Linked DNA regions of Drosophila melanogaster. The protein of the gene in region 1 purifies or fractionates together with the protein of each later gene. This does not show direct contact. Each region holds a gene or a part of one and is shown in the gene's direction. Other genes may lie near its edges.

The links.
Region 2: the proteins of CG3407 (region 1) and CG10466 purify together in Drosophila melanogaster (affinity purification with mass spectrometry, with the first as the bait; one large-scale study listed by BioGRID). This does not show direct contact.

Annotation. Positions count from the first base shown.
Region 1 is NT_033779.5:3,809,738-3,826,588, reverse strand, and holds CG3407 (uncharacterized protein), read left to right. Parts: upstream 1-13,178; 5' UTR 13,179-13,258; coding exon 13,259-13,300; intron 13,301-13,367; coding exon 13,368-13,994; intron 13,995-14,054; coding exon 14,055-15,018; intron 15,019-15,083; coding exon 15,084-15,595; 3' UTR 15,596-15,788; downstream 15,789-16,851. Other genes in the region: slp1 (sloppy paired 1), read right to left, coding at 1-805.
Region 2 is NT_033779.5:19,784,600-19,799,497, forward strand, and holds CG10466 (uncharacterized protein), read left to right. Parts: upstream 1-7,504; 5' UTR 7,505-7,627; coding exon 7,628-7,852; intron 7,853-7,910; coding exon 7,911-8,150; 3' UTR 8,151-8,183; downstream 8,184-14,898. Other genes in the region: fs(2)ltoPP43 (female sterile (2) ltoPP43), read right to left, coding at 8,303-8,559, 8,625-8,803, 9,984-10,444, 10,941-11,147.

The DNA of each region.
Region 1 (16,851 bases):
GATTCATGCGCTGGTACAGGGCGGCGGCGGCAGCGGCGGCGAATGGAACAGCCGGGTATCCGTAGCTGGAAGCTGGAGCTCCGTATGGTGAAGCAGCCATCATCGGCGAGAATATGGCCTGACGATAGGCGGCCAGGCGAGTGCGACTGGCGCCGGGATTCTTGCGCCTCAGCTTGCCGGTGGTCTCGCCAATGAATACCTCCTCGGCCGAGGGGTCCAGGATCCAGTAGTTGCCCTTGCCGGGATCATCGTAGCTGCGGGGAATCTTCGTGAAGCACTTGTTCAGGCTCAGATTGTGGCGAATGGAGTTCTGCCAGCCCCGCTTGTTGGCCTTGAAGTAGGGGAATCTATTGATCAGATACTGATAGATGCCATTCAAAGTCAACCGCTGCTCGGGACTATCCTGGATGGCCATCATGATGAGGGCGTTGTAGCTGTATGGCGGTTTCTTGGTATCGCTGCCGGCGGTCATTTTCTGTTTCTTGCTGGGATTGCCATCCTCGCTCTCCTGGTCCTCGTCCAGCTGATCCTCCAGCTCATCGTCGAACTCCACGTCGAGCTTGTCATTGTTTTGCGACGATAGACTCTCGGCGGCACTGCTCATGGGTGTGCTGGTCCTGCTGGGGCTGTCGAAATCCTCCGAAGCCGAGAGTTCGCCATCGGAATTGGAGTACGGATGAACGTACTGATGATGATGATGCACCGGTTCGGTTTTGATGGGTTGAGTTGCGGTGTTGATGGGTTTCTTGGCCAAGATGGCATCGATGGAGAAGTTGCTCTTGAATTCCATTTCACTTTTCACCATTTTTCTGATTCGGATATCTTTAGATTTTTGTTTTCTTTGGTTTCTGATTCTCACACACGACTTGGGATCGCTTGAGATGTTTGCTCTTGAGATGCTAGCTCTAAGCTGATTCTCTACAGCCCCGGATCGGGCTATTTATAGTCCAACCCCCGGTCGCTCGAACGAAGTCTACACGAAGAGAGCCCACAGGCCGAAAGAGACGGGTAGCTAATGCGCACAGGGAGTGCGAAAGGGATGGGCATCAGGTAGTTGGGCAGTTAAACCCTCTTCACAAGACTCCGCCCTCCATTTTGTGACCATTTTGTTCCACTCGCCTTCCACACGAAACTATATGTTGGCTATATGTTTGTAGACGTTGTTTGGGAACTTGTGGATGTTTATTTGCAGTCTTTTGCTGCTTCGGCGTCAAAATATCCATTACATCCAATCCAAACAGGGTCGGTATTTTGGGGTTGCTCTCAGTGCGTCTCGCTTCCGCTCGCTGTTTTGACTATTAATTGCACTAACAAGCGGCAATAAAAACAAAAACACCAATTTCGGGCAGTTGCAATTTAATCAGGATGTTTATAATTCGAGTTCGATGATTTTTGATTGGGATCCGAGAGTAATTTACAAATTGGGCCATTTCTAATCACTTCAATGGGGATGACATTTACACTTTGTCAGATATTAGAGTGTTCTGGCAATGACCTAATTTCAGTCATAATTAACTCAAAGATATTAAATATGCTTTTATAGATATAAGTAAAGATATTTACAATGTTCTAGAATATTGGATTGGTGCTTTGATCCACTTATCATATGACATTGAATTCTGCGAACCACTGCACTAGCGATCTGCGACACAGACTCCTCGAGTTGCTCCTAATCCCGCCCAAACTAGTTCAAGGGTCGCTTTTGTGGTCCGGGGATTATCTGAGGCAGATCCTGCCTTGGCTTACGGCACGATTTTCAACAGCTCAATGGAGCTCAGGACGCAGAACGCAGGACTCAGGTAATCCGAAGGGGTTAAACCTCCGAGCACCGGGATTTGTTCTAGTTTCGCGACAGATTTGCGAATTAGTTCTGGGCGCGCTTCGCCAGAATCAATGTGGATCTCTGGCAATCCTTTTGGAGATTAATAGATTTGGAAAATTATAAGCATGGACTCTGGCAAATATTTGTGCTCAGTGTTGGCTGGCAGTGGAATTTAAAATTGGTTGCACGAAAGTTAAGTCATATTTTGGTGATTTTGTGTGTGTGTGTTTAAGATTTTAAGATAGCTTAAATTTGAATGAATATCAATTTGTTCTATGATAAAGAATGCGATAATACTTGTAGGCTAAGGTTTTTTAATACTTGAAGACACTTTTAGGAAATTAGGAGATGATTGCAGTGCCGTGGATCTCAAGGACACATGCAACTCACATGGACAAACATCCTTTGGGATCAAACGAAGTCTCGCCGACTCTACTTTGCTACCGAAATGGACTTTGAAGTCCGGACTTTTCGTTTGCGAGTGGGTTGGCAATGGACCGAGACTGGACCCCGGCTACAAAAACACGAATGTACAAGTGGTTTTTGTGTCCATAGTGTTTTATGTTTTTATGGCATGTTTTGTTAGAACAATTGAACAAATATACAGGCAGATAAATCGGGCGAAAGTCAAGTAGACACAATGAAGACGTCAGCGCTGTGGGTTATTACAGATGGATGGATGGATGAATGAATGGATGGGGGCGAATACTTGTCGGCGGCACTGTGCGTTTGATATCTTAGACAACTTGACAAAACAATCAAAGCAGCAACAACACATGTTCCAAATGACTGTCTATTAATTTGCTCCCTTCTCATATTTTATTTTTTGCCCAAAACCAAAAAATAAAAAATAAGTGAACAAAACAATGGAGGAGTTGGGAAGAAAAAAGTAGGCAGCGCACTTTTAACGCAGTAGTCCAATTGCCGATGATAATGATGCACTCAGAGAAGTCGGCAAAGTTAAAAGTGCCCGAAAGAGACGGCAATCGAGCGATAGAGAAAGAAAGGTATAGGCAGTCGAAAAAAGTAGGCGGTTAACAATTGCCGAGGCGGCAGGTTCAGTTACTATTCTTTCTTCTGCAGAGCGTTTCTTTCTTTTCTAAGCGAGGGATAAATGAAGATTTGAACGCCTCGATTTTCCTTTTGCGGCTTCCCTTTTTCTCTCTTTTTATTCTTTTGCTCTGGGCCACTAATTGAGTTGGAAATTTGTGTAGTTTTTTTTTTGCAAGTCGGACTTACAGATGAAAGGCATTTCGCCGACTTCGACTTTGACTTTTCCCTGGCGAGTGCATAATTTTGACAACCGCGACAAAACTAATTGATTTGTGAAATCCCTAATCCCTTCAAAAAGTCCACACATCCTGGACACACACATTGCGGAAAATTTATGCACACTGCATAGAGTAATGGGTAATTCGATTATCAACTGCAAGGTGTGCCTATGCAGTTTTTTAGGCATAAAAAAATATGAAAAGATGAAGACAATTATAAAAACAGATGAAGATATTTAATCTATGTTATAGTTTCTGGTCGTAAGACCTTTGAAAATTATATATCCCTTCCTGACTTTTCGTTTGACTTTAATGTGTTTTTTTGCCGGGAGGACGTCGTGGTAAAACGAATTGATTAGCGATTCGAGATCCTTGAGGGCACACCTTGAGCATAATCGAGCGTGGATCAGACCGAGAGCATGTGGCCGCTGATTGGGTGATCAGGACGCGATCAGGACCACGCTGTTTGACATTATGGTTTCATTGCCAAAACCACACTTAGGCGTTTCCTTGGCGAGCTTCACGCTTCGAGGCAACGCTACGCCTGCCTCATTAGCTCACAAAAACGTAGGGAAACTATAGAAAACTATGGAAAACTATGGAAAACTATGGAGATGCATAAGCGAATTCCAAGTAGACACCGTGGCCACAGACAATGTGCATGTAATTTTCAATTAACGCCACAAGATTTCCCTCCTTCAGGACTTTCGCCCGTTTTCGTTCCACTGTGGGTGAGCATTCAGTCTCATAATTGATCGTAATGTGCGATATTCCTTTTGAGGAACCTCGCTGTCAACAGGACTCGCTGCGAGTCCTATCCTCAACGATCCGATCCTCGGAGACTGTCACATGGCTGCGACATCAGCAGGATATCTTCGGCATTTGTCGCGCACAGCGAGTCGTCTTTTCGCCCTCATCCTCATCCTCGCACTTTGCCTTTCAGTCATTGTCCTGTCGACAGGATATTCAGCATGTACTGGATTTTATGGTCCCAACAATGGCCATGATCGATCTATCGTTGCACACCCGATGAAAAAAATGTGCAGTGATTTTTTATGCATCCGAAACGCTGAGTTCTGTCACTAATCAGGTCCTTTCACTCGGGCATTTCTGCATAAGGCTCAGTTTATTGATAAGTCCGGTGTCAATCCCAGATTTTGAATGAATCCTGCTACTTGGCTTAGGTACAAAACCGGACTTAAGTTTACTACTATATTGCCTTTACGATCTGGTTTCACTTTTACTGCTGCCAAATCTGCACTTCAGGTAGTGGGGGTAAATCTTTATTGGCATCCAGGTAAGAGAAATATGAAAATCTATATATGTAAAACATTGAATGAGCATCTCGAAAGCGTTTCCCCTGAAAGACTTCAAACATAAATATGCTTGTCAGAACTAATATTTCCAGCGATTAAGATCCCCGCTCTCAAGAGCCACCACCTCCAATGTTCTCCTCTTCAAAGGCATCTAAATTTTATTTTATTTCCTAACCATATGTGTGTCAAAGTTCCACTTAAGTAGAGTCGCCTCCCCCATATGGAAGCAGCTGGAGATCGTAAGCAACCGCCTTTGACAACTTTATAGCCTAACGAGCCGAAAGGATCTCCAAGCGTACAGTCAACACCCACTATAATTGATCAGTTCCACACCGAGGCACATAAAAAAAAAATATTTCGCATCCTTCGGGCGCGACTGCGACTTATTGATTAAGTTGTCCATGCGGTTGGCATCGGGATTGCCAGACAGGATGCATAAAAACCTGGAAGGATCTCGTCGGCTAGAGTTGATCGAATTATAAAGGGCAACTGGTTGCCATCCACCATTTGTCTTCATTCTTTCCCATTGCAGCTTGCAGCAGCCAGAACCGAATTGATTCGTCACGCAGATTTCGATACATTAAATGCAATCATTTGACAACAGGACGAAAATATTTTCATCCATTGTGTCCTAACAACTAGCATACGATGCTAGGCTGTGTGTGTGCGCTAGATGCCATGGTATACACCACCACACATGATACATCAGTATCCGAGTGCTATCCTTTGCAGGTTTCCACACCAATGGGACTCCCCCCCAAAGCGTAGCAAATGCGTGATGAGGATGCCCTATAGAGGATATCTCAGGGTTTAGACCCTCCATACCTTCACCATATCTCTCCCTTTCTGGGCGTGTGAAATCGGGAAACAACGCCTGGGAGCTGGCGATAATTGCTCGTTAGTAGCTGCACCATGTCCACGTCGGATTTCAATTCGCAGTCTGTCCTCCGCTTGGATTAGGTTGTCAGGATCTGGGGATGACTGTACAAGGCGATCAATGGATTTTGGGGAAATTGATTTTAGCAAATATATGTAAAGAATATCTTTATATTAAATTTAAATTATATTTATTTTATAATCCACATAATATTGCTCCCAATGAATAAATGCTTTTCAATTATATGTATCTTGTATCTACTTCTTTTACGAATTCGTAGATCAATCTCCCAGCTAGCTCCCTTCACTCTTCTTCGATCAAGTATAAATCTGTAGACCTATTTTAGGACCTCATTACCAGCTTATACAGTTTTGTATGATCCAATTCCATTGTTTATTCACAGTTTGGTTGACACCTTTGAGGAATTTCTCACCTTCACGATAATAAAATATTATCCCGCTGATCTCGGCACTGATCTTCCCATATCGATTACAATATCCTTTTGCGCATAGCAAGTTCCACGAAAACGCATTGAACCGATTGTGCCAAATGTGACAACATAATCCACATAAAGTAGCCAAAAGGAGCCGATCTCGATGATCCTTTGATCTATATCGCCTTATCATCGTCGCCGTGATTTTCGTCTAATCTTGTGATTCTTGTGTGACAACATAATCAAGGCGAGATCGGCAGAGATCAGAGTGGCCGCATATATCCTTTGATGAGCGGGAGTAGCGTACCACGACAAAAAAGGACACTCATTGTTCGAAACGTGCCGAAAGGTGGAAATAAGATGTCACCTGAAAAATGCAAGGAGCTGCCGCCCATGGACGAAATAAAAGAAATTCGGAAACCGACTTTGATGTCATTGTTTTAGGTACATTTTATCACATTGTCATTGCGGGTAGACCAAAAATATACCAAAAAGAAACAGCCGCCGCCGCTGCTGCCAACAAATGTCTCAATTATTTCTTATTTTCGGCCTTTGGCTTTGACTTTAATTCTGTTCGACCGACTTTGGGCCACGCCTTTTGGAAAATATACCCTCGATTGGGAATGCACCGCAGCGGGAGTCCTTGATTTATGCCTCGGCGATCCTTGATCCTCGATCCTGCGGACTGTGGACTGTGGACGCAATCAAAGGAGAAATTCAAACAATATATAATCACCACAAATGATCGCAGCGCGTGCAGAATGTTTGAGGAATCGTTAGTACCGCCCCAACCCCTACGATCCAAATCCAGTAAACCAGAAACACAATTAAGAAGTCAGAAAAGCAGACGCTCCGCTAAGCGGATTCGGCCTTTAATAGTCTTAAAAATCGATTCCTTTTTGAGCCTTATTGAAATGAGCAGCAGACGGCTCATTGTGTTTTGGCCTGGACGTGTTAACATAGCAATTAACTTTTACAAGGGCTGCTAAGGAGCAGGAATTTATGTTCGATTTATGCAGCAACAGGATATGAAAGGACCAAAAACAAGATCGAACAGCTGGCAAATTTTTGATGACCAATGGTTGAGAAGGATCTCGAGATGATCGGTTTATGGACAGTTCGGAATGTGCCTCGAATTCAGGTGTGAAGATCAAAATGGCAGTTGAAAATTTTAAAAAAAGAAAATAACACCTTGAGAAATGAGAATACCACATTAAAGATATGATTAATGTATTCTTTCTGGATTATTAATAAAATTTCGTTTTACTTTATCATCTCACTGCTAGCTTTTGTATTCCTCGACAAACACAAGATGTAATTTATTTAACACTTGGCTATTTACCCGATCGAATTTCCCACTTCCAATTAAACGACTTCCTTCCGTGGCCACGTGAAAGTGTGTCAGCTCCATTCATGGCTCACATCTCCACACTGCGGAACAACTTCCCCAAGTTATGGCCACAAAAAACGAGTCAGATCACACCTCTTTGACATAATGACAAGATGGGAAAATGCGTTTGGTCTTTTGCCGCCACGTCAAATCGATGACACTTTCTCATTAACACAAACAGGCGCAGGCGGTCAAAATTCGCTGACATTTCTAGGCGCCTGCCTAACTTCGAGCTAATGTCTTTTGAATCGGGGAAATCCGATACAGCAGTGGAAAATATGCAGAGTACACCGGAAAAAAAAGTATATGGCTAACTGACTCAAGTACTAGTTGAAATCAATCAATATAATGGGTATTGCATACTGCATACCATAAAATCATCTACCTTATTCCATTAGATATATATAGTTTTCTTTCAGTGCAGCCAGGATTGGGGACAAGAAACACATGCGGCAAGTGAAGTGTTTAGGCGTGGACGTGGCAACATCGCGTACGGAAAAGGAAACAAAAAGTAGGAGGTGCCGCCGATGTGTTCGAAAGTCGGTTAATTACAAAAAAGAATCGAAACATCTACACACACATTCAAAATGAAAGGGCAGACACGCACTTGAGCACTTGACTGACTCACTCAAATTTCATGCGGCAAGGAGTCGAGCGAGGCAAGTCGCAGATGAACGTGCAACATCAAAGGCCGCCAGCGACTTGTATGTTTTCATTGCTTCAAATTGGAAAATGTCTTCGCATCGAAAATATTTGGTTATCATTGGGTAAATATGTGAGGAGCAACAAGGAGAATGGTTAGAAATAGAATGCAGTGAGTCCAGAAGGAGGAAGTTGGGAACATGCTACAGTAAATACAGGGTATAATTGGTCCTTGCACTTGGAAAAACTCCTATGTCAAAATTTCATCTTTAATTTTAAAGTATATTTCCACGTGCATCCTTTAGAATTCGTCGCAGTGCTAGGATTTTCACAATTGACACAAGTCAAAGGTGTTTTTTGCCTAAAGGACCAGCCCAAAACTCAGGTGCTGTTTTGATTTTGGAAAGCGTCTTGCCGTTCCGCTTTTGTCCTCTTAGCCCGCTGGCAAATTCCTTGGACGGCAGCGGAGATCGGAAGGTTAGTGTTAAATGCCGGCGATTTGCACCAGCGGTGCACCGGAGGTGGCACCAGGAATCGGAATTGGAAATCGGGAATAGGAATGGGAATGCGAATGGGAATCCAGAGCCAGGGGGGTATCCACGCGGCAGGATGCGCCTGCCTGCGTGATGATGAGCCTCGAGTAAGGATGCCGGAATAAAGGACTCGAACGGCACCCGCTGACATTGACATCCCGACGACAGCAAGCAGGCCAAACTCAGCTGCTGCTGCTGCTGCTGCTGCTGGTCCTCGTATCTCGTGTTTCCTTCAGTTTGCCCGAGAAACGTCCTTGGACCGGCCGAGGTATGTCCTTGGCCCGTAGAACGATATGTGGCCAAAGTAAATGGCATATTTTGGCCTCTCCTGGTTAACCGTACGCAGTATTGCTTGAAACTTTGGGATCTAACGCAAAACTGTGGCCATACATTGACCTTCGACTGGAGTCCTTCGAGGATCCTGTCGCGTTATTTGGTCACAGTCACAGTCACGATATGTTAGCAAATCTCAAGTTTGGTGTTTGTAATTTTTGGTTTTTTTGCTTGCCACTACAAGGTCGAACTGAGGGAAGTTGGCCTCGATTAAAGTGGTATTTTGGTTTGGGCGTTGATTTTGAGCATGGCCCTGTATGGTAAATACATAAATATATAAATTCAATATATAGTTGAAAAGTAACTGGGTCAATGACTTCCAGTTTGGGACAAATATCGATGCATGTGCTGAAATATCCTGAAGATCTTCAATCACATCCCTTTGCGAGTCCTGAAAAATCTGCACTTTCGCTAACAAAAAACCAGCTCATTTCGGTATTTCGATTTTTATTTCTCTGATATTTTTCACGGCTCAGTGGCCTTCGAAACAATCAAACTAATGGGACACCGCAAAAACATAAAGGCAGAAAATGTGATGTGTGTATAAACCTCTTGTGTTGGTCAAATTCATTTCCACTTGATTACGTGCAAAGCTCAAATCTGTTGCGGAAATCATTTAAACGGAATTAATGCTCGAACAAAACATGTGAAAACTATCGCTCACCACTCGATTCAAATGCATTTGGGCGAGGCGGGGAAGCATTTCGATTCAAGTAAATATATGTATATATATTTCCTTTTGATTTTGGATTCGAAATTTCCTGGTATTCGTGGCGCACAAATGTCGGAATATCGAGTTTGGCAAAAAAAGGTAGAGTAGGGCGTGTGCAAGCCTAGCGGGTAGCACATGAGTCGATTCCTTGAATAAAAAGTATTTGCAAGAAGGGGAAATATATTTGCAAACTCCAATAAAGCGGGAGATTTCAGTAATTAGTTCGCTGGTTGTTTTCCAAAACACCTGTCTGCTCTTAAAGAAAAAACTTTAGCAAACCTTTGAAGGCTCTAAAATGAATTAGATATTAATCCTGAACACTAGAGGCGCCAAGAATAATAATATTTGTGCTTCTCTTAGTATCACTATGTAATCAATTAAAAAAGTTGTCTGTCTTTTACTTCATAATGCCTCATTATCTCGTACAAAATGTCCTTTTTACGAGGGGTTACGGAAATCAGATTGCTATCGCCACTTGTATGTCGCCGCATCGCACTTAACGAGGAGCTAAAAACTCGGATTCGGGGTAAAAAAAAAAAATGGCACGAGACAAGAAAGCCCCCATGCCCCGCTAACATGTGCTGGAAAACTATAGGGAAAACCTCCTTTTGGCAGGACACGAACGGAGATACAAGTAAAAAACTGCCAGAGAACACAGCACGTGACAATTGCGTCAACAGATTTTTCGCTGAGATGAGCACAAAATTGTTAGCAACAAAAAACGTGAGCTAAGAATGGGAATGCGACAGGAAACAGGGGCGTTGGAGCCAGGGGGGAGGGGGAGCTGCAGGGGGGGTTGGATTTCCCAACACCCGACCAAAAACAAAATATCAAAACCCTGCTGTTGTTGTTTTTGTCGTCTGTAGTTGTTGCTATTGACAATATTTATGCAGCAGCAGCACCAACAGCAATATGGAAAAACGGGGGGCAGAAAGTGGGTGGTGGTTTGCTGAATATTGTGGGGAATTTTCAGACCCCAAGGGCAAAATTGTGGTGCTTGTCATTCCACTGTTTGTTTTTGCATTTTACTACATTTTACAGCTTTTGTTTTATAATTTGCACCCGCAAGGCGACAAACTGCAGGGGGTAATAAAAAAAAAAAGGCAGTAAAAAAGTAAAAAAAAAGTATGGTTGAAATAATTTGTTTGAACTAGGAAATATCTTCTTTAAACTAATTTCGTGGGCAAAAGTTCTGAAATCTCAAACAATTTGTGATTAAATTTAATCTACTTATTTTATTGAACATTTTATGAACAAAATTTTACTTCAAAAGCAAGCATTTTTAGAGTTCAGTTAATGCGATGAGATTTTGGAGAACCCTATATACCCTTCATGTTCCAGGGTGTCTGAAGCTCTCTTCAGTGATCGAACCGCTCTTGATGAGGCTCCTTTCCGCTTCCTTTTTGCAGCAGAGCAGCACAAACTCGAGTCTGCGGTAGGTTTGGTCCTCCTCTTGGTCCGCGGTCCTCCGAGCCGGTTCCGTGTGGTTGTTGCAAGGTGGTTGTGCTACAGCTACACTTGTTTGGTTGTTTCCGTGGATGGGGTTTCGGTTATTTCCGATGGGCGAACGGCGAGGAGGGTCCATGGCACCGCAGTACGTGACGAAGAACAAAAGAAGGCACTTGGGCACTTGCATGTTTCCTGCCTCTAGTCGCGCTGGATGGTGGAGGTCCTTACGCTTGTGCCGTGTTTTTTTTTTTTTTTTTTGTCCAGAAACTTACTTGCCGCTGCTTTTGTTGTATCCACAAAAAAGCACGCTTATGATAATAATGGCATTATGTATTGTATACCACGTAATAATGTACAAAATGTTGACAGCCGCAGTCTTTTTGCGACACAAACTTCTCTAACGAACTGAAGGCAAAGTTGTAGGAAAAATCAAGTGGAAATATTCTTTTAGTTTCGAAAAGCTTTCGAAAGTAAAGAATTAAATATATTTTATAACTTTGTACCCTGATGACAGACATTTGTATGCTTTATATACTCAATTTGTGGTGTAGCTAGTGCATCTTTTCAAAATTTTGTTCCCAGAATCCAACCATAACAATCGTGTTTACCCAGGCAGGTTAATACTTTTACTATTTCGCCAAAAGAAAATATTGACTTTTCATATTTGCGAAAAATATTTGAAAGGCACAAAAAAAAGATTCCTATTTATTTTTGTACAAAATTTATGAAAACGATAAACCAAAAACAAACAAAAATTGCTTGGTAGCCCGCAAAATAAACACACAGCAAATAAACCAAAGAGGCAGAGTCAGGTAGGATTGTATCTGCATCTAACTACATATATGGTATGGGTTATAGGATGGAATAGATCAAGGGCTCTGGTGGGCAGCTGGTGGGCGTTGCTAATGTGTGAGCCAAAAAGCAAACAATTTGCATTCCCAAACTAATGAAAAAACAATATTTATATGGCACACAATAATACTACAATTGAAAGAGTAAAGAGTGGGCAAAAAATACAAATCTTTGAAGATTTGGAAGAAGATCTTTAAGAAAATATACAATAAAATCACAATTTCAAAATATTTGAATATTTATGAAAAAATTCTCCAATTGCCCTATTAAAATTCTAAAATTATTCCTTCTTCTTTCTTACAAACCCTCAACAGATATTAAGTTAAATGATAAGCTGTCGCCATATTGAAAACCTCTAAATTAATGTCTCCCTCTGGGAATTTCCCCCATTGCTCCACAAACCAACCAATTGGTTGGAACATAAAGTTCAACAACAAACAGAGCCATAAACATTCCCATTACAAATTAACACTTCATATATATTCCACATTCTGAAGTGGCACATAATCCCAGTCGTTTCCCCCACTTTCCCCCCGAAAGTCGACGGAACTGTTTCAATCTCCATATGGCCGCAAACAGGAAGCTAATCCTGCTCAGTGATATATCAACATATTTATGGTAAACGGATCAGAGGGCTTAGGCCAGCAAATTGGAGTGAAGAGGGGAACTGGGGGAGCATCCATATGTTACCCTCTGGTATTTTTAGGCTCGACTTCAAGTGGCAACTAACCGCAGAAACTCCATAAAATTTTATGAACACTCTTTCGGCGATTTTATGTGACGAGCGACGGCTGCTTAGCACTTCGATCGCCCATGGTCTATTAATGTTTAATAAACAATTATTAGACAATCAACGAATTTTTCGTGGCTCTGAAGCTTTTTGATCTTCATCACATCCAGTGACTCACCAAGAATGGGTGTACAAATAAATACCAAAACGACTGTGTTTAGATCAAATCGGATAATTACGCACACGAATTCTCATGAATCATAACAATAACAATGGAATCCCTTGAGGAATCCGTCAGGAACACCTCTTAGCGGAGGCGATTGACACGTCACGAGTGGGAGAAACTTTCTGAGTCGAGAACAAATGCACTTTGATGTTTCACGAACTGCAATTCGAGGTATTCACCATAAGACATAACAAACACTTCGATATGTTTGGAAATTAAAAACTTGCGGTAACTAGAAAATCGGTGTTAATTGGTTATTAGCTTGCCAAGTGTTTTAGCTAAAATACTGACAAACATGGAACAAATTCAAAATGAAGTACCAGCGATTTCAAGACAAACTAAATGAAAATGAAAATAAAGTTTAAATAAACTACAAATGTATATCTAATACTAATATATTTAAATTTGTTAAGTACCAAAACCAATTAAATAAAAATCTTACACTTTTAAAATGATACGACAGGAGTTTAAATCTCCGCGGGTTTCCGCCACAGCACCAAAGCAGTTTACTGCTTGCTTTTGAGCACTGCTCTCCTTGCAACAACAATCATTTGTGTCCCTTTACAGCACTGTTCGGCTCACAGACATCGATAAGTTATCGGTCTATAATCGCTACAAAACGTAAACATCTGTTTTTTCGCTTTTAATGAATTTAAGAAAAACTTTAGGAAAATGGAGCGCAAGGAAGTGGACACCCAGCAGTTCATCGACCATGTAAGTGGAATGCGACCATATTTCGCGTGAAAACCCGCGCACTAACCAATTCCCAACCAACTTGCAGACGCTGCTGGCGAACCACTTCATCATGGATCTGATAGATCAGACCTACAAATCCGAAGGACCCACGAATCTGAGCACGAATCCCAGTTCCGGCAACTCCGAGAGCGGAGTGGGTTACGTGGAAAAGGAATCGCTGACGCCGGAGCTGAATTTCCACAACACCATCTTTCAGTTTGTGAACAAATCATCGCCAGAAAATGATGTTGTACCCCACCAGGTGGATGCGCAGCCCACATTTCCGGCCCTGGCCATTGAGCCCACAGTGCCCATCGACGTGTCCACAGGTCTACACGAGGACGAGGATCTCCTCTATGCGCACAACAACGCCTCCTGCACGAACGCCCGCAAGGTGCTGCCCCACAAGAAACGCATTTCGCGGAAGCTCAAAGGCAACATAGACCCCGAACTGGACCACCAGCACAAGCATGTCCAGGATGTGGCACCCTCTTCCCTGTATAGCTGTGAAATATGCGGCTATGCTGTGCACACCCAATTGGACTTCTTTGCCCATCTGAAGCAGCACTACGAGCCCACCGTTCTGGAGCAGCGCCTGGTCGTCCAGGATCCCCAGCAACAGCACCAGCAAAAGGAACCCCTCGACATGTGTGGTTTGTCTGCGCAGGATAAGGTTAGTTGGGATTTCAAGCCTAAAGCTTAAAGTTAAAGACTCATTTCTTATATCGCACAGCTGCAACAGGAGCAGGCCAAATTGGATCAGGTTTTTCAGGACGTGCAGCTTAATTTTGAGAACTTTCACAACATCAGTCACCATGTGAACGATGTTGCCAACGTCGGAGTGAATATGGTGCTGCATGGACAAGCCACGGACAAATTAAATGCCGTGGTGGTTAACACCAGCAGCACTCCGAATTCTGTACCCGTGGTGGATGACGTCGAGTTCAGCGATACGGAAGACATGCTCGAGGGTATCCGCAATGTGGTGGACAAGGTTTCAATAGAAGACACCTGCGATGAACTGGTGGATCTTGAATTGACCTCCAGCGGAATGACGGCACCCTGGTTTAATAACAACTTCAGGGATATCACATTTCCGGCTCTTCTGCTGCCAGGAGAGCCGCCACCAGCTTCTTCAGAGCCAGCTACTCCACTGCTTAAAGAGAATCCCCATGTAGGCGACCACATGGCACTCGATTTTCTTAGTCCCGAGAAGGCGGACCCTCAAGAGGAAGCAAAACTGGAGAAAACACTGTCTAAAGCCTGCGAGCCCAATGAGCAAACCTTGTTAGTTGCACCACCTGCCTGCCAAACACCACCGATTCCAACTGTTCCACCAGCCAACTCATCCATTGAGCAGCTGCGCAGATCTCCCCTAGAACTAAGTGAAGCCTTCAAGTTGGAAGAGGATGACATGACCGATAGCCGACCAGCTTCGTCGTTCGAGGAAGGCGATCCCGATGCTGAAGAGCCAAATGAATGTTTTCAGATGGAGGTTTTGGATACGAGTTTAACCGAGGAGGCAGAGAACAAGACAAGGAGGAAACATTTCTGCGACAAGTGCAATCGCGATTTCAACTCGTACAATGCCCTCAAGTACCATCAGTATACGCACAATCAGGAGAGATCTCACAAATGCGACAGCTGCGAGAGATCCTTCTACACGCAGAGTGCGCTAAAGGCTCACGAAAGGACACGTAAGTGATTACCTAGAATCTTTCGCACATAAACCCCTAATCCTTGATGCTCCTATCCTCCATAGATTCCGGCGTGAAACCCTTTAAATGCGACAAGTGCGAGTTTCAGTTTCGGCAGTGGGGTGACCTGAAGTACCACATCATCTCGCGGCACAGCGACGTCAAGGCGCACATGTGCGAATTTTGCGGAAAGAGTTTTTCCCGGCGCTACTCCCTGGTTGTCCACAGAAGAATCCACACCAGGGAGAAGAACTACGCCTGCCAGTATTGTGACAAGACCTTCCGGGCCAGCTCCTACCTGCTCAGTCATATTAAAGTGCACACGGGCGAGCGGCCGTACGAGTGTTCCATCTGTGAAAAGAAATTTCGAGTCTCAGGCGATCTCAAGCGACATTCAAGGATTCACGATCCCAGCAGAACAAGCCAACCGCCTGCGGAAAAAGCTAAAAAGAAGAGGGCAGCCGCGAGCAATAAGCAATTGCCAATCGAAGAGGATGACGAGTTGGCCACCAATATCCAAAACAATAAGTCTGACGCCATGCGCGACCAAACTGGACAGAAAATCCTGGGCTTATAGCCATGCTGTGCCAAGGTTTCTTCAAAGTAGTATAAGTCTAAGTCTATTGTACGCACTTTTGTACAAGTTCTGTAAATAACTGAGATCGTATTAAGTATTTATGGAGAAAGAAAATCACGTGTAAGAGAGCTTCAAGTTTAAGAAAATTCCACTTTAAAGTCAACTCTTGAATAAATCTGTACATTTCTTAAGCAATTTGGCACAGAGCATTTTCTTTTTTTTTTTGCTGTCCCCAACAATTTCCTTGTGATATCTGCAAAATAAATTTGTAAACTAGTACATTTTCTATTGCAGAGCATTTCTTTATTATTTTCCATGTTTTCGTCTTGTCATCTTCATTTCATTCGTTTTTTTTTTCTCAAATGTTTTTGTTTTTCACACATCTGTCTCTCTCTTTTTGCACTTGTACCGTTCGTCGACTTAATTGTTAATGAGTAAGTATATATATTGTTATTAATAATGTAACTATGTACAACACAAGTGTTTGGGCGCCTGTCAGCGGGCCCAAAACGCAATGAAATCTTTGTATTCTTTGTTTACAACATAATTGGTTTCTTCGCTTTTTTTTTTCGTCGTTTTTGTTTTGTTTCTCAAAAATATTCAACATAAACGCCCCGCAGCCATACATTCCATAGATTTGTGTGTGCTTTCCGTATTTGTTAGCCATTCTATTCTCTCACTGTAACTTCCTTTCGCTTTCGCTTCAGAGCTTATAAACTAAAATCCTAGTATTGGCTGATTCACCAGCTTCCTATCTTTTCCACGCTTTAATGTACGCTCAGTCCATGATATCCTCCGATTCTCCCATTTGTTACACATATATAATATAATTCATCTGTCTCATCCTCGCTTGCATTTTGTTTAATTAATTAAAAATTACGAAAACTGCATTCCTAGTATCAGTATCATATCTGCACTTCGCATCTCCCAGCCTGATCCTAACTCCTCCAGCTTCGATTCCCCGCTATTATTACATACATAGATTCTTGGTGTCTTGGTGGTGTGGATTATGCTTGTCTTGGTAGGTTGAGTGTATCGAGTGTCTCCTGTGTTGATTGTGGGGTGTGTGAAACGTTTTTAGTGGGCATGAGATGGTCGGTTGGTTATTATTGAAAATTAGCATACGAAACACTGCGATTCCATTGACTGACTACTCTTCGATTCGAGTTAACTGAAATTTTAGCCTGCCTTTCGTTAGTAAATATGATTTAAAATTAGCATTACATTGAATATTTCGCTCTGACTTGCATCATCAT
Region 2 (14,898 bases), about 16 Mb from region 1:
ACATTGAAGGCTAGTCGAACGCACAAAATCAAATGAGTTTCATCTCAATTATGCACAAAAGTCAAAAACAAAACACCAAATAAATTTTCGAACTCTGTGCATATTCAATTCCTTGATTGCCCATTGCACTTTGGCCAAAAACGAGCCCAATGAAGACATTTTCCCATCGGTTTCTTTCGCCCAGCTCACTTTCTCCAATCAATTAAACAACATTGTCTATGTCCGGACTGCGAGCCGCCAAACTCCGGAGTTTGTGAGAGCAGCAAACATTTCAATCGCTGTGCAAGAGGCTCGGGCCAATTTAATGCTATGAAATAACTTAATATTGGACAATAGTTAATGGTTTTTTAATGGCGGGCTGGCGGCTTCAGGCTGCGTTTTCCACCTCAGCTCGGCCGGGGCTTGACCCAATTGACTTGCAGCGAGAAACCGAAAGCCAAACATGACAATGATCTATAAATCAAGACTGGAATCGCAAGTGCGTGAGTCTGGAGCCCAACTAGACAGCATGGACACACGTTTATATACGTATATAATAAGCTAAATAAAACTTGCCCCTCTTGACTGTTGTTGGTTGTGCTAATTTATGGCCCAAAGTGGGTCACTCACTCACTGGTTTCTAGAGCGGACAATTGCAGCGAATGATGTCGGTTGTCGGCCATAAAAGACTTACGAGGCTGCAAATGCATGCATAATGTGCTTAAGCCTAGTTGCTGAGACTGCCAGTCAGTTAGGCAGTTCCCCCCTCCGTTCGACATTCACTCATTCAGTCAGTCAGCCAGTCACTCATTCACTTCAGCCGGCAAGTGCTAAACGATGCTGGTGTGCATCTGAATGAGGCGGATACGCTGACGGACAATTAAATAGATCCGCGACGGTTAATCACAGGAAAATTCCAGGGTAGAGGACTAGAATGGATAGAGTGCTTTTACTGGCCAAAACGACTTAGGCACTTCGAATTTCTATAGTTGCTATTATACTATTAAAATACCACCGACTAGTTTAAACTTCAAATTTCTTGTTTCCACTTTTCAAAACATTTTTAAATTGTAATTTTGGATTTCGATTTCTGTACAATGTTTTTAATGCCAAACCCCATTTTCAGGACTAACTAATGATTAAGAGCAATGACGACGACCCATCTAGATTGCTCGATGACTCTTTTTAGCTTTGACTCACTTTAAATAGTCACAGTAGGGGCGGCTAATTGCTCTTGGCAGATTCGCATTACATAACCTAATAATGTATCCAGACGTTTGGTACCGGTACCAAGTAAATCGAAAGCCATTTCACCGCAGACACATAGATTTGGACCGAGTGACTAATGGGCCAACATGAAGTCATTAGACTGGCCAATTGATGCCAGATAGTCAGCCAGTCAGCCAGTGCTCCTATAAACCATGCAGCATGAACAAATTGCAGCCCAAGGCTGATCCGGTTGCTATATGCCGTTAATCTGTTGAGCAGAGCGGTATCAATCTACGCCCCAGTTGACAGCCAGTGGCACTTGTGCTCTTGGAAATCTGATCGGTTTGGCCCGCCTGGCTGACTCACATGTCGGATTTGTTTACGAATGGGGAGCCCTTTGTGGGGTCGTCTGCTCCCAAATCAATGGCACACAACCCCACTGTCCCCCCACAGCTGACTGACTGACTCATAATATAGAAATAAAAAAGCAAGTCCGCCATGTGGGAATTGCAATTAGTCTAACCGCCACATTAGTCAACGCTCGTGCTTCGGACTGCCCAAGTCCGTTTTACTAATTTTACCTGGGCAACGGACCAAACTTTACACTCCACTCCCATGGCCCCCATAATTGTCGAGCTCTCGACTTCCGTTCACACAATTATGGACTGTGGCAAACACAAATGCCAAGTTGCAAGTTAGGGAAATGGAAATGGAAATGGTTTGCCTGGTTCAAGAAGTTTGAATGCGCTAATATTACATATTACATGAACATATCCAGTAAGCAAAGTGCATTTTATTACGCTTTATCTGATTCTTAAATAGTTCAAAGTAAATCTTATACATTTCCCAATTGGTTTCAGTCCCATTCCGAAATGATTCCGACTCTATTATGTGGCGATTGCATAATTCCGAAATGTACCAGCAGCGAATTTCCAAAGTCATTAAAGTGCCATTGTTAGGGCATTAAAAGCGTTCATCTGATATGAAGAAAAAAAATGGGAAAGCACAGGGCAGAAAAGAAAAGCGAAATCGCTCAATTCCGCTGGCCATGTAAATTTTCTACTTTGACATTTGTGCAGAATTTCGCCTGGCCTGGCCCAAAACCAACTCATCTCCGTCAGCGAACCATAAAACCTAGCCTAGTGTCATTTAGCGACGTCGAAAAACAGGTACACATAAACCCACGGACTCACACTCCGACGACTATCGGCGAGACCAGACTTTATATTTTTAATGGAAGTGAAAGTTTTGCGCGCATCAACGAAATATATATATATGTACATATGTAGATATATAGCTGCTATACGTAGACAAAGCCAAACACACACGCGGCCGGCAATATCCAAATTTTTTCTTTCAGGTTGTCTTAGGCTCGTGGCGCCGGCATACGAAAAGTTTTGAAAATAAACAAGCAAAATAAAATCGTACAATAAAAATCGCATTAACAAATATGCGAAGCAGCTGCTGGAAGAAAGCGCAATGGCCAAATATTTAGAAGCAAACGTCAGACGCAAACGGGCAGTGGCAATATAATTTAATTATTATTCATTTCTATGCGAGCGCGACCGACCCGAGTGGCCGTGCATATGAATTGTTAAATAAAGTGTTGAATTTCAATAAGACAAACGGCCACAGCGAACGGGGGCAATTGGCACAAGCGTTGAAATTCATAAACAAATGCGAAAACATACACAAAATATAACCCTCCCCCCCTCCATTCGAAACTTGTTCGTATTAATAGACAATCGTTTACTCTACCCATCGCCGGGCATATGAGCTAGGGGGTTGATCTCCGCTCGACTGCGGAATCCTTCAGAGGAATTTGGTATTTCGAAGTGCTATTCTTAAAGTTCTATTCCTGAAAGAGGCGATCCGTACAAATTGTTTAAGGTTTGGTTTCTCTAAAAATAGAGAATAAAAGAAGATACCGCAAAACTTAAACTTTATTCTGCATATACTATTCTATTTCAATTCATTGTGCACTAAATACAATGCAATAAATTCAAGCGTTTGCTTTCCAAATTTGCTACTTCGCCTTTTGTTCTATACTGCACAAAAGTGGTAATTAGAAATGATAAATTACACATGTTCAATTAAAACTATTCGAGCTATAAATATTCAAATAAGGCAACATTCCATTCACTGGATTTGTGCAGGTGATTCATGGATGAATTATAGGTTGATAAAAATTATTCTGTCTCACTGATGATGAGTCAGAACGAAAGGGGACTTTCTTCTTATCTGAGGCTTGGATTAAATGCTTAAAAAACTTAAAAACTTATCAAAAACTAAGGTAAATCATTTACAGCATTCATGTTTCCAGTGATCGGAGATCATGCAAATTAAACTGAGGAATCGGTTATTGAACACATTTCGTAATCTATATTTAAACTATGAAATCATCGAACTCAATATATGCACAGTAAATGTCAATAAAAGATAGAGCATCTATATTTATTTGCCTTCGACACTCTTGGGCTATGATTTCCTATAATGTAACTCTTCTTTCAAACGTATTGAATAGAACGAATTCTTAGCGCATTTCACATTCGACGCAGCTCATCGGGCAAACAGAGGGCACTACTTTTGAGGCATTTTGATGGTTTTTGTTTCATATGACTTGGCACTAACAACCATAACAGCAGCAGCAACAACAACAAAGCCCCCAGCGACTTGTCAGTTTTAATTGAAATCAATTGAGCTCAATTATTTGATACGCATATGAAACACAACATCAGCGGCCATCACAACAACAGCCGCAAGAGCCGCCAACCCAAAAATTCTTATACGCCGTGTGGGTTCGGCATTTCCCCCTGCTTGCACTTCAATAACCACGAGATAGTTGGCGAGGCTGGGGGCATGTCAGTCGCCAAATATGGAGCGTTTATGAAGAATTCTTTACATGAATGTAAACAAAAACAAAATGCGAATATAAAACGCGACGGCGTCGGCTCGAACAGGTGTAAACAGCAATAAGACACAGGGCGAAATGTGTAGAACAGCGAATTTTCTGTTGGCAGTTTCGCTGCAATGTTTTTTTTGTGCCTGCTATTGTAGACTGTTTACATTGGCCAGCAAAACAGTGGTTGGTAATCAGTAATCAGTGATAACGGCTGCAATTTAGTACTATTAGTAATCCATAGGTATGAAAAGTCTTGCATGAACTGGACCGAACTCCAAATGTTAGTTAGTTCTCGGTAGCAATACTGTGCAAGCCAGTGTAATTCTTATCCCTACGCTGCCTGAAGAGGGGAATGCGAAATTCCTTCTGTGGTACTAGTGCAAAAGTAAGTAGTCCAGGAACCAAGGCGTTGCAGCCCAGTGTAGCCCCCCAGTACGCCCAGATGTTTGGTGTCACCCGGTTGAAGGGTACTCCCTTCCCGGATGGGAAAGGGTTTTGCTGGCGGGATTGGGTATGGGAATCTGCCGCATCTGTGGGCAGTGGTGTAATGAGCTGGTCGCCGGCGAGGTAAACGTTCCCCATTGGAAGCGGTGTGAGCTAGCCGTCCGTTTGAGCGGATGTTTGAGTTGAGTGCACAGCTACCGAGGCGCAACGAAATTAATCGAACTCGAAATCGGGAGCTGGCGGGGAAGCAGCTTGCTCGCTTGGTTATGCTGCTGCACATATAGTACCCCTGTATATAATACATATATATGTATGTATGTTCGTGTATATAGACGTAGAGTAGATGTATCTGGCCAACTTGACACGTTTCTGCAACAGGCGGCCGCAGCGCAGTCAACTTTGCTCTCGTCACTCGAAATGTGCCATAATCGTGCGCAGTCGCGGCGCGAATCTTTCCCAGAGACGTGAGCCACATAATAACCGCAGTAGGAGCCCCACACGAGTGTACATATGTACATAAAGTATAGTAGCACATATCTGTACGTATCTCGTAATAATAGCGAGAAAGCTGCCCGCACCCAGCCCCCGCATTTAACGGCCAAAATGAGTCAACATGCGCCCAAAATGTTCTCATAGAACAGTGGGGAGAAGTTTGCTGATGCGGAGGGATAGGCAATGGGTTCTCTTTTTAAGCCATTTTCCACATCACACATCACTTCGCATAAATACCCATTGGGAATGAACGAGAACTAGGAAGGTACATATGAAGATAGTTCAGATAATATTTAGACAGCTTTAATTATATTCATTATAGAACTATGAAGAACATAAATCAACTATAATTCAGGGTCTCTACGAACGCAACTAAAGTTTACACACTGCAGCTCAGTAGAGTAGAAAAGTGAAATGAAGTACCACCTATCAATTAACAATCAGTCTACGCCAAATAGTATTTGTTAATTGATTTTTCCGCCTCCTTAACACCTTTTCGTTAATCGCACACTTCGCTCCTTTCACAAAACTCTTGGCTTTACTCGCAGAAGGGTATGAAGGAAAGCAAGTGAAAGGCCAGGAGTTGGCTTTTTGGGAAAGTAACAGAGCGGACCAAAAGTATCAGTTGCTTGGCAGAGTGGGTGGGGTAGGTTGGTTTTGGGGCACGAGGAGCTGGAGAAGCAGGAGCAGCCGGACGGAGCGAGTTCAATGTCAACTGTGTGGGCAGCGCCACGAAAACTTTTTTACGAGCGCTTCCGCTTGAAGAAACACACACAACTGGATGTGTGTAAGCCCGCAAGTAAAGCACGACCACACCTAAACATTAAAAACCAGCGATGGAAGTACATGTTTCCTCCTTTCGGCGTGGACAAAAACAAAGAGACACAAGCGACCATACAGCGGGGGTCAACTCTTTAAAGTCGTGTTGAGATTTTTTTAAGATCATGTGTAATCTTAGGTTTTAGGTCAATGGCTTGTAAACTACACTTTATGTGACTTAATTAGCGTTTAGTGTTTCTCACAATTTAAGTCTTGCTGTGCGTAATACCCGAGGATTGAAAACAAAAGGTTAAGGAATGTAGTTATCCCAAAGGGTTGATTGCGATGAGTCAAATGACAGCAGCTGGCATGAGTTGCTCTATAGCTATTACTATTAAATTCCAGAATAGGAGCATATAAGAAATACAAAAGTTTCAAAGTGAACAACATAAACCAAGTTCTAGTCACGGTCAAGTGAGGAACTCTATTTATAGTTATAGGGTTTCAAAATGCACGTTTCCTTATCTGGGTTTTTGGGGTTGAAGTTGCAGGACAAAAGACGGCAGCTTTGGAGGAATGCTTTTGTCCGCTCTTCCTCTTCCTCGCTTACCAAGGACTCCATAAAGACGGCAGATACCGGAGGCCCATTACTATTATTTTGACTGCAGCTGTACGAAAGAGAGGCATTGCCAATGGGGTGGAATGTGCATGTGAGTGTGAATGTGTTAAGGAAAAGCAGCAGCAGACAGACAGACAGACAGACACACAGACGAATGGACATATGGTGGAGTTGTCCCAGGTGAGAGTGTGTGTGTGAGTGTGGCTGCCACAGGGTGACAAAGTCTAGTGTGAAACGGACATATCGCACTTATGTCTTTTACATACCAACTGTTCCAATAGCAAGGCGCAGGCATAGTTACGTGCGCGAGACAGAGAGGGAAACACACACTCAGCTTCCTTCGCAAAAAATAATATGGGAGAGCGAAAAAAAATAACAGAAAAGACGGGGCGTTATTCGCTGTTATTCGGCACAGAACGCGTCTCGAACGATGATGGGAAAATGGTAAAACAATGGCTTTGGCACAATTAAAAGACCTCAAAGACGCCAAACGGTTATTCGTTTATGTTTTCATCTCTTCCTCTCCCTCACCAATCAGCAGTCGCAGTCGCGGCAGCTATTATTTATTATTTTCGTTGCTGCCGCACAATACACTGACACACATTTTTAAATAGAGAGGAGATACTTTTCAGCATATCTTTTTCCTTTGGCACGCACACGAGCATGCAGACACACGCACACGCAAGGGCATACCGCACACACACACACGTACGCTAGCAGACGGCGGGTGTGTAAGCCCAATTTTCGCATTCGTACACACCTTTTCTCGAATAGATCACCGTGGCAATGGCAATATTACAACATTTCTCACTGTCCGTCCCAGTGCACAATTAACTGGCTTCCGATCCGCAGCCTTTTACAACGCGACAACAAATGTGACGATAACGATTAAAATACCACCGGCCTTATTATAACGCACTATTTAATACCACTGCACATACAAGAAATACCAAATACAAATACCTAGCAATTAAAAACTACTTTGGTATTTAAATTAGTTGGAAATTAAATAAGTATGCTACATATTAATTATATTAGCCTTTTAGTTTTAGGAAACTCTATGAGTTAAAGAAAGTATCCAATTATCGATATATTGCCTGAAATACTACCTACACTGCTTGCTTGCTATGTTAATACAGTTCAAAACAGACCGATGGTATTTTCTACCTAACAGCAAGCAGTCACATCGCCACAAAAACATAAACAAATAAAACGATTTGAAGATGAATCCGCTAACAAATATGAAAAATGTGCTCAAACTGAGCGAACACGAACTGCAACATGGCGGAAAGAAGAGCTGGCACGACATGTACAAGGACTCAGCCTGGATTTTCGTCGCAGGATTTCCGTATACCCTAACTGAGGGCGACTTGGTTTGCGTATTCTCGCAGTACGGCGAAGTGGTCAACATCAATCTAATTCGAGATTCAAAAACGGGAAAGTCCAAGGTAATGCTTAGTTACCCTTTCAAGAAAGTTCCTGAAATCATTGTTTAAACTTGTCCAGGGCTTCTGCTTCCTGTGCTACGAGGACCAGAGATCCACAGTGCTGGCCGTGGACAACCTGAATGGCATCAAGATCCTCGATAGGACACTAAGGGTCGATCACGTGGCCGACTACAAGCCTCCCAAGGAAAACGAGAAGATGGACGAGGAAACCCTTCGCCTTTACATGGAGGGCTGTGCGCCGAAACCTCAACTTCAGCACATCAAGACTGAGAAGAAAGACAGCAAAAATTATAGATGATAAGATAAGGTTAGCTTAAACATAGCAAAGCATGCAAACAGAATTTTTATATTAACTTAAATTTTTTAGTTATTAAACGCTAAATTATACTACTACATTCTTTTTTAAAGCCAGTAATTTAAGGTGCAAGAATGAATTGGCTTTCCAACCTCTCATTCGCCATCAGCGCTCGCAAAGGAGTCGTCATCATCATCATCATCCTCATCCTCTTCTTCCTGACCCTCCAGTTCCTTCAGAATCCTTCGCTTGTAGCGCTCATAGGCGCTGCCCCTCTCCCGGTCGACATTGTAAAAGTCCACGTCGTCCACAAACGAGTCTTCCTCAGTGTCGATCGTGTGCACGTAGGGATCGCGAAAGGTGGCATAGTCATCATCATCGCTGGTGCTGGCAAACTCATCCTCGTCATCATCTGGAAGAAGAAGCATATGCATATTCATAAGCGGAATCTATGCAAACAGTTAACACAGATCTTACCGAGCATAAACTTGTTCATTTGCCGGCACAACTCATCATCCGAACCCATGGCGCCCGCTTCGTCGTCGTCCGGGTAATCATTGGTAAAGTAGTTCTCCTGGTTCGAGTCCTCCGAGTCGTAGTCCTCGTCCTGGTCGTTGTAGCAATCTTCTAGGACAATCTCGCCCACAGGAATCACACTGCAGAATAGGCGAAACAATTAGTGAGTTTATTTCGATTCTTTGATCACGCAGCATTTTTAAATTGAAACACAACAAAGTTTGTCACGTATTTTGAGAGTTTCTTTATTTAGTTTATATTCGATTTCGGGCAACGCTAGGCCCCAACAGATATAAAGCAAAACAAACTAAGACTATGCACTTAATTAGACTTCAGCACTAGTGTTATCCGTTTTTTTTTGTTTATTGTCGGAATGGAAAAAGAACCAAAAAGGCAACTGACAACTGGCGGAAACTAAACGAAAAATGCTCGGTGAGCTGTTTTTCAAAAAAATGCGGTGTGTGTGTGTTCGTGTGTGGGGGTAAATTATTCTAATCTAATAGCTAATTAATTCTATGAACATAAGGTAATGAGAGACATTTGCCTAAAACGATTCCAAATAGTACACTAATTGTGCGTTTTTAGCAGGATACATCTTATTTTTATTAAAAACTTTGGCAAGAGGGAACTTTATGGGAACTTTACATAACTATGATACATTATTTAAACTAAGAAGTTTAGATCTAACATATTTTTTAAATGGAATATGGCATAACATAGTTGTGTTAGAATTGAACGAAATCTCACAGTAACAAATCAAATAAATAGCTTCCAGAATCATTCGTTTTCAGATCATGCCGTGTTTACTCATAAAAACAATGTTTTATCGTTAGTTTTGGGCATTTGTCAAATGTGCTGACTGCAATGAACTGTAAGTGATGTGAGTTGCCAGTTGCAGTCCTTTTTTTTATTGTCGTGGGTGGGGCATTGGGTGTCTCCTGTCCTCACACTTCCTAAGTGCCTGCGACTTTGTCTGTCTCTCTCCATTTAGTTTATTTCTTGTTTACCAGTAGCAGTTGTTGTAGTAATTAAACGGATAATACAACCTTATGGAGAACGAACGAATCGTATTATTGAGCTGTAGTGATTGCAATCGTGTCTAGATGATAAGGATAATATGCAAGTATGAGACTGCGCCCGAGGACAACGAACACAGACACACGCACACCCACACCCACACAGATACGCCCATAGCACCGACACACAGACACACCGCTTAGATATATATATTCCATATAGTACATAAGTGTAGTGGTGATCGATTACATATAGTAATTGGTAATGCTCAACGTTTTCTGTGGCTCAACTTGAATGACAAACCTTAAGTAGTTGTCGTCCATCATGTCCACATATGCCGCCTGCATCTCGTTCTCGGGAACATATAGATCGTAGACATAGCCCACGTCCGAATCGGCCGGCTGCTGCTGATCCTGGCTGGGTGCTATCTCCTGCTGCTGCTGCTCCTCAGCTGCTGCACTTGCAGTGCCCATGTGCTGTTGCTGTTGCGATTCAATGTCCACGATGGTTATGTGGCTGCTGGACTCATGACTCTGGCTCTCCGGGCATTCCGCTTCTGCGGCACTGTTTTCGAGCGTGCTGCGCAGGCAGTTTACGACCCGGAAACGCTGCTCCCTTGAGTTCTCCTGAGCCTCCTGCCGCTGGCGATCTCTGCGCAGCGCACTAGCAATGGCTGCATCATTGGAGCGCTGCTGTTGCACCAGATCACGGGCTGCGGCCTTGTTGAGCCTGGCAGCGGCGAATTTACGAGTGGCACAGTCGTCCTGCGAAAGAGGCATACAAATTAATAAATCAATTTTAGATTCATTAGATCTTTGGATCATTAGTCAAAATTACCAATAACCAAACTAGAGCTATCTTTTATTAAGTTCCCACTATTTATTGCGGCTGTAAAATGGGAATTTGCTATGATAAATGTGCATTCACTTTACAGATAACAGGCCAGCACCTTTAACTAAGGTTAAAGATCACTACTAACTGATAAGTATTATTAAAATTGCACACATATATGTGTTACCTTAGATTAGCTATTTGTAAGAATCATTAAAGAAAAAACAAATCAGTTCAATGAGTGCATTTTTGCAGAGTTTGCTAGCCCATATCGTTTTGCATCTCAAAGATGAGGACGTTGACCTTTTTATAAGCAGCACTAAAAGAACCAACAGCGTGCATTCGAGCCACAGCAATATATAGAAAGTAGTGGCCACCAAGGGCATGTGAATTATATCTACGTTTGCTTCTCTAAGCCCCCAATCCCACCTGCTTTTCCAGCGTGCCGGCAAACTTGAGCACGGTGGTCAGTTCGTCTTTGTCTGATGCCACCGCTCCCGCCACCGCTCCCGCCACCGCTCCCGCGTCCTCCAGGGCGTTCTCATCGTTGTGGAGGCGCCGCCGCTTGCCGTTTAGCACAAATGCCGTCTGAGGCTCCTCGTCGATGCGTCGCTTGATTCGCACAACCGCTGGCATTTTGATTAATTCGGAGAATACGACAAACAACGAAAGGCGAAGCGAAACAATTAAAAGTGTGCGACGCGCAGTGTGACCGTTCGGGGCATGCCAAAATATATCTGCAACTCTGGAATTTCATCAATACAAATTTTAGAGATGGAATTGGTTGAGACTGCGAAACTATCGTGACGAATCCTTAAATCGTAGAGCCAGTAAACTAAATTTCACGATTTAATTGTGAATTATTAATTGTGATTTAATCTGTTGATAATCATTCAAAATAATATACGACAAGAAAAGATTGGCAGGTTTGGCAGTGGCAGTAGTAGGTAGTTGGCACTATCAATCATTTTTTTTTCTATATTTCTATATAATGTAAACTGTAACTGTTTTGCATTGAGTATTTTGCATTTATTGAGTATTTTGAATTTATTGAGTATTTTGTATTTATACAGGAAGTAACTATGTTCGACAGTTTTGAATGCCCGCCAATTTCGAATACTTTTCATCCCCGTTTCCGGCACTTCCGGTGCTTCTACCCCCAATCAGCTGATCGAAAGCCGACACTCCGGGGATGAAGTCCCCAAAAGAAGTTGAAGCTCGCAGGAATGGCAGTTAGTGCTCTTAGCCGGCGAAGTGTGGTTGACATAGCGGGTGGTTTCCGTGCTCCAGACTTCCGGCCTAAATCAGCCGTCGGAATTACGTTCATAAAAGTGAAATGTTGGCCAGAAGCGGCGACTTCGGCTTCCTTGTGTTTTTAATCAACGCCAGCAGTGCCACAAGATTAAAGTGAGCTCAGCCTCGGATTGAATTGATGCCATTAAACCGTGAATGGCGCCCAAGTGTTTTCGCTTTTCCGCCCGCGCTTTTTGCCATTTGTTGCGGTGCCTCGATGGACGTGTGTGTGTGTGTATGTGTGTGTGTGTGCCGCTATTCTCGTCCTGCCAAAATGAAACTCGTATAGGCCCGAGAATGATTTAGTGCCCGATCGCAATCCGCGAATGCCGCAATTATGTTTTAATTGGCGCTAAATGGTTTACTCACACGCGCACGCACGAAAGGATTAGCAGCAGGAGTCGAAATTTCTTCGCAAAGGTGGGTTGTTTGTGGCTGCTACCGCCGGATTGGATTTAACCCTGTTGATTTTGGCAAATTGGAAATGTAGTGAACAAATTGGGAACGGAAAAATAAGCAGTCAATCGGTCATATTGGTTTGGTTTTTAGTTTAGAATGTTGATGTTAGCTAACATAATTATTAACAAGGGATTGGTAAAAAGGAATTGGCTGACAGGAGGTGAAGTTGAGTTACAATTTAGCTGTCTTAAGTCTTTGAAAATCTGGTCTGCAATTGAAATCCTTTGAAGGACACGGTCAACTTGCATTGTTAGAATTTGCGACATTTAAAGAGCATCCTGATGATGACAGAGGTTTGTGTTGACACAAAGTGGGTATACCAAACGGCAAATAAAAATCAAGGACACGGACTTAATTAATAAAATGTTTCATGGCGAAAGCGTTGCAGGAGTTATGTGGCTCGTGATTTTTCCACAATTTCCCAAATAACGCTAGAAAGGTTGCCCGTTCGTGGCAAATATTTATTTAATTCCGCAGAGCACCTGGCCGTGTGGACTCTTCGCGCTTTGTTCATCCGATGCGGAAGTCTTAGTGCCTATAAAAATATTTACGAGTGAATATTACAGCCTCTGAACTGGGCCCTTTGACCCGGGGACTATCCAAACATACGTATGTATATGTATGTCTGAGCTCCCCGGGCAGCCTGTTTTATTTATGTGGCGGGCGTCAGAAAATTTGCCATCGCATGAATCATCTGCCACGTTGGAAAAGCCTCCACCGAGGATGGCTCCCCACCGTATGTAATTCGAGCCTGCCCACGTGCATTTTGGGGGAAGAAGATCGGGAGTGGGGCATCCTGATGCGTTTGGCATAATAATGAAATAATAATGTCGCCTTTTGTTCGGCTGGAGGTGTCTCAATGTCTCCGGCAATAAATTAATGGGCTCCGCACATAAAAACATAAAGAGCACCCTGCAGGTTGAGCCTGCCTCAGTTTTGATTATGTGACACGCAGCTTCCTCATGTGGCAAGTACTACTTGCTTACCAGTTCACTTCAAGGGAGTGAGCCATGGGTTTTTCCCACTCCCATTTTTTGTGGGGCGTCACATTCCTTAAAACATTGCCAGCTGTTGCCGCAGCTCAGCCAAAACTAAATTACCATAAATATGGCCAAGTGCTTGTCACGAGACACGGCATGATGAGCCAAAGGATCTGCTGATAAAATGCTAATCATGGCGACAATGTTCGCTGACTTGCCAGGACAACCCAAAAGTATCCATCCAAGTTCAGAAACATTTTTTATACTTTCTTTCGCTGGTTGTTGGCCTTGCTGAAAAAAAACTGCTTAAACATTTTTTGCACTTTCGTTTAAAAAAAAAAAAGATTGTCGATTTCTGATTTCCTTCGGGTGGCACTAGTTTTTTGTTCAGCAAGATAAATGTACAAATATACAGAATTATTAATGATATGTATCTCAGAAGGCATAGTAATTTTAACGAAATAAAAGTTGAGGATAGTTTGGAACATATTTAGATATATGGGTATTTAAAATTATGTATATGATCCTACACTTGCAATATTTACTTTAATTCTAAAATTTAAATCTTAAATGTATTAATAAATATAAATAGTATTGTTTTAAATGTTATTTTGATACATCATTTTTGTAGATAGTAACTAGTGAATTAAATTTAAATTTGGAATGAAATCAAAATACAAAGTGCAGTGTACAATGAGTTCGTTGTAACCGAAGCTCAAGTTTTATTTCCTCTCCTTTTCTTACGCTCTTTTGTGCAACATTTTTGATTAGCTTCAAGTTCAGGAAGGAAAAAGGGACGGAAAGGTCGTGGCCATCGAATGGGGAGGGTAGGTGTTTTAATTTTCGTTTAAACTTGGTCGGGAAAACACCTCGGGGGCATCTGCGTGGGTCGAGTGTCTCTTTGTGGCTTTGACAGGCTTTGTTTTTTGGGTGGCTCTGCCTTGGCGAGAAGCATCATTATCATCATATATCCTTGTTAATGTTAATTTGTCCGGAGGGTTGATTTTTTGGCTACGGACCCACGCCCATAAATCATTATAATGCATTTTGTTTGGGACAAGTTGTAGCGGTCAAGTGCTGTGGTCACTTCAATAATGTATTAATCATTCTCATTTTGTGAATTAAATGGACTATGGTGGTGATGGGCAAGAGTATTTTTTTTAAGATAAGTGCAACGAAAAACACATAAATGAATTTCAAATCATTGTTCTTAATTTATATATTATAATTATAAATTAGTTCTTGGTCTTTTTTAATGCACAAAATGTAAAAAATTCTTTTAAACCAAAGAATAGCCATTGAAAAATCAATAAAAATTCCACATATTATAGTATCCACATAGTATCTTTGTACGTATTTCAAGATAAATGCGAGTGATAAAATATTTATTTATAAAACACGGCGAATTTATTTGATTTGATAAAAAGAGGACCACAGTCAGAAACAGCAATAAAATGCGTGCATTTTCACGTATCAAACATTTTTCACATTTATTTTGGGGATTGTGTGTGCTCAATTATTCATTAAACTCGATGACTGTGCAACAAAACTGGGGGCGAGTGTTAGGGATTACGAGTTGTGGAGATTGCTCCCCGGACCAACGCGCCAATTACAAGTGCAAATAGAAATCTGCTGTCGGCCACAATACCAGCGTT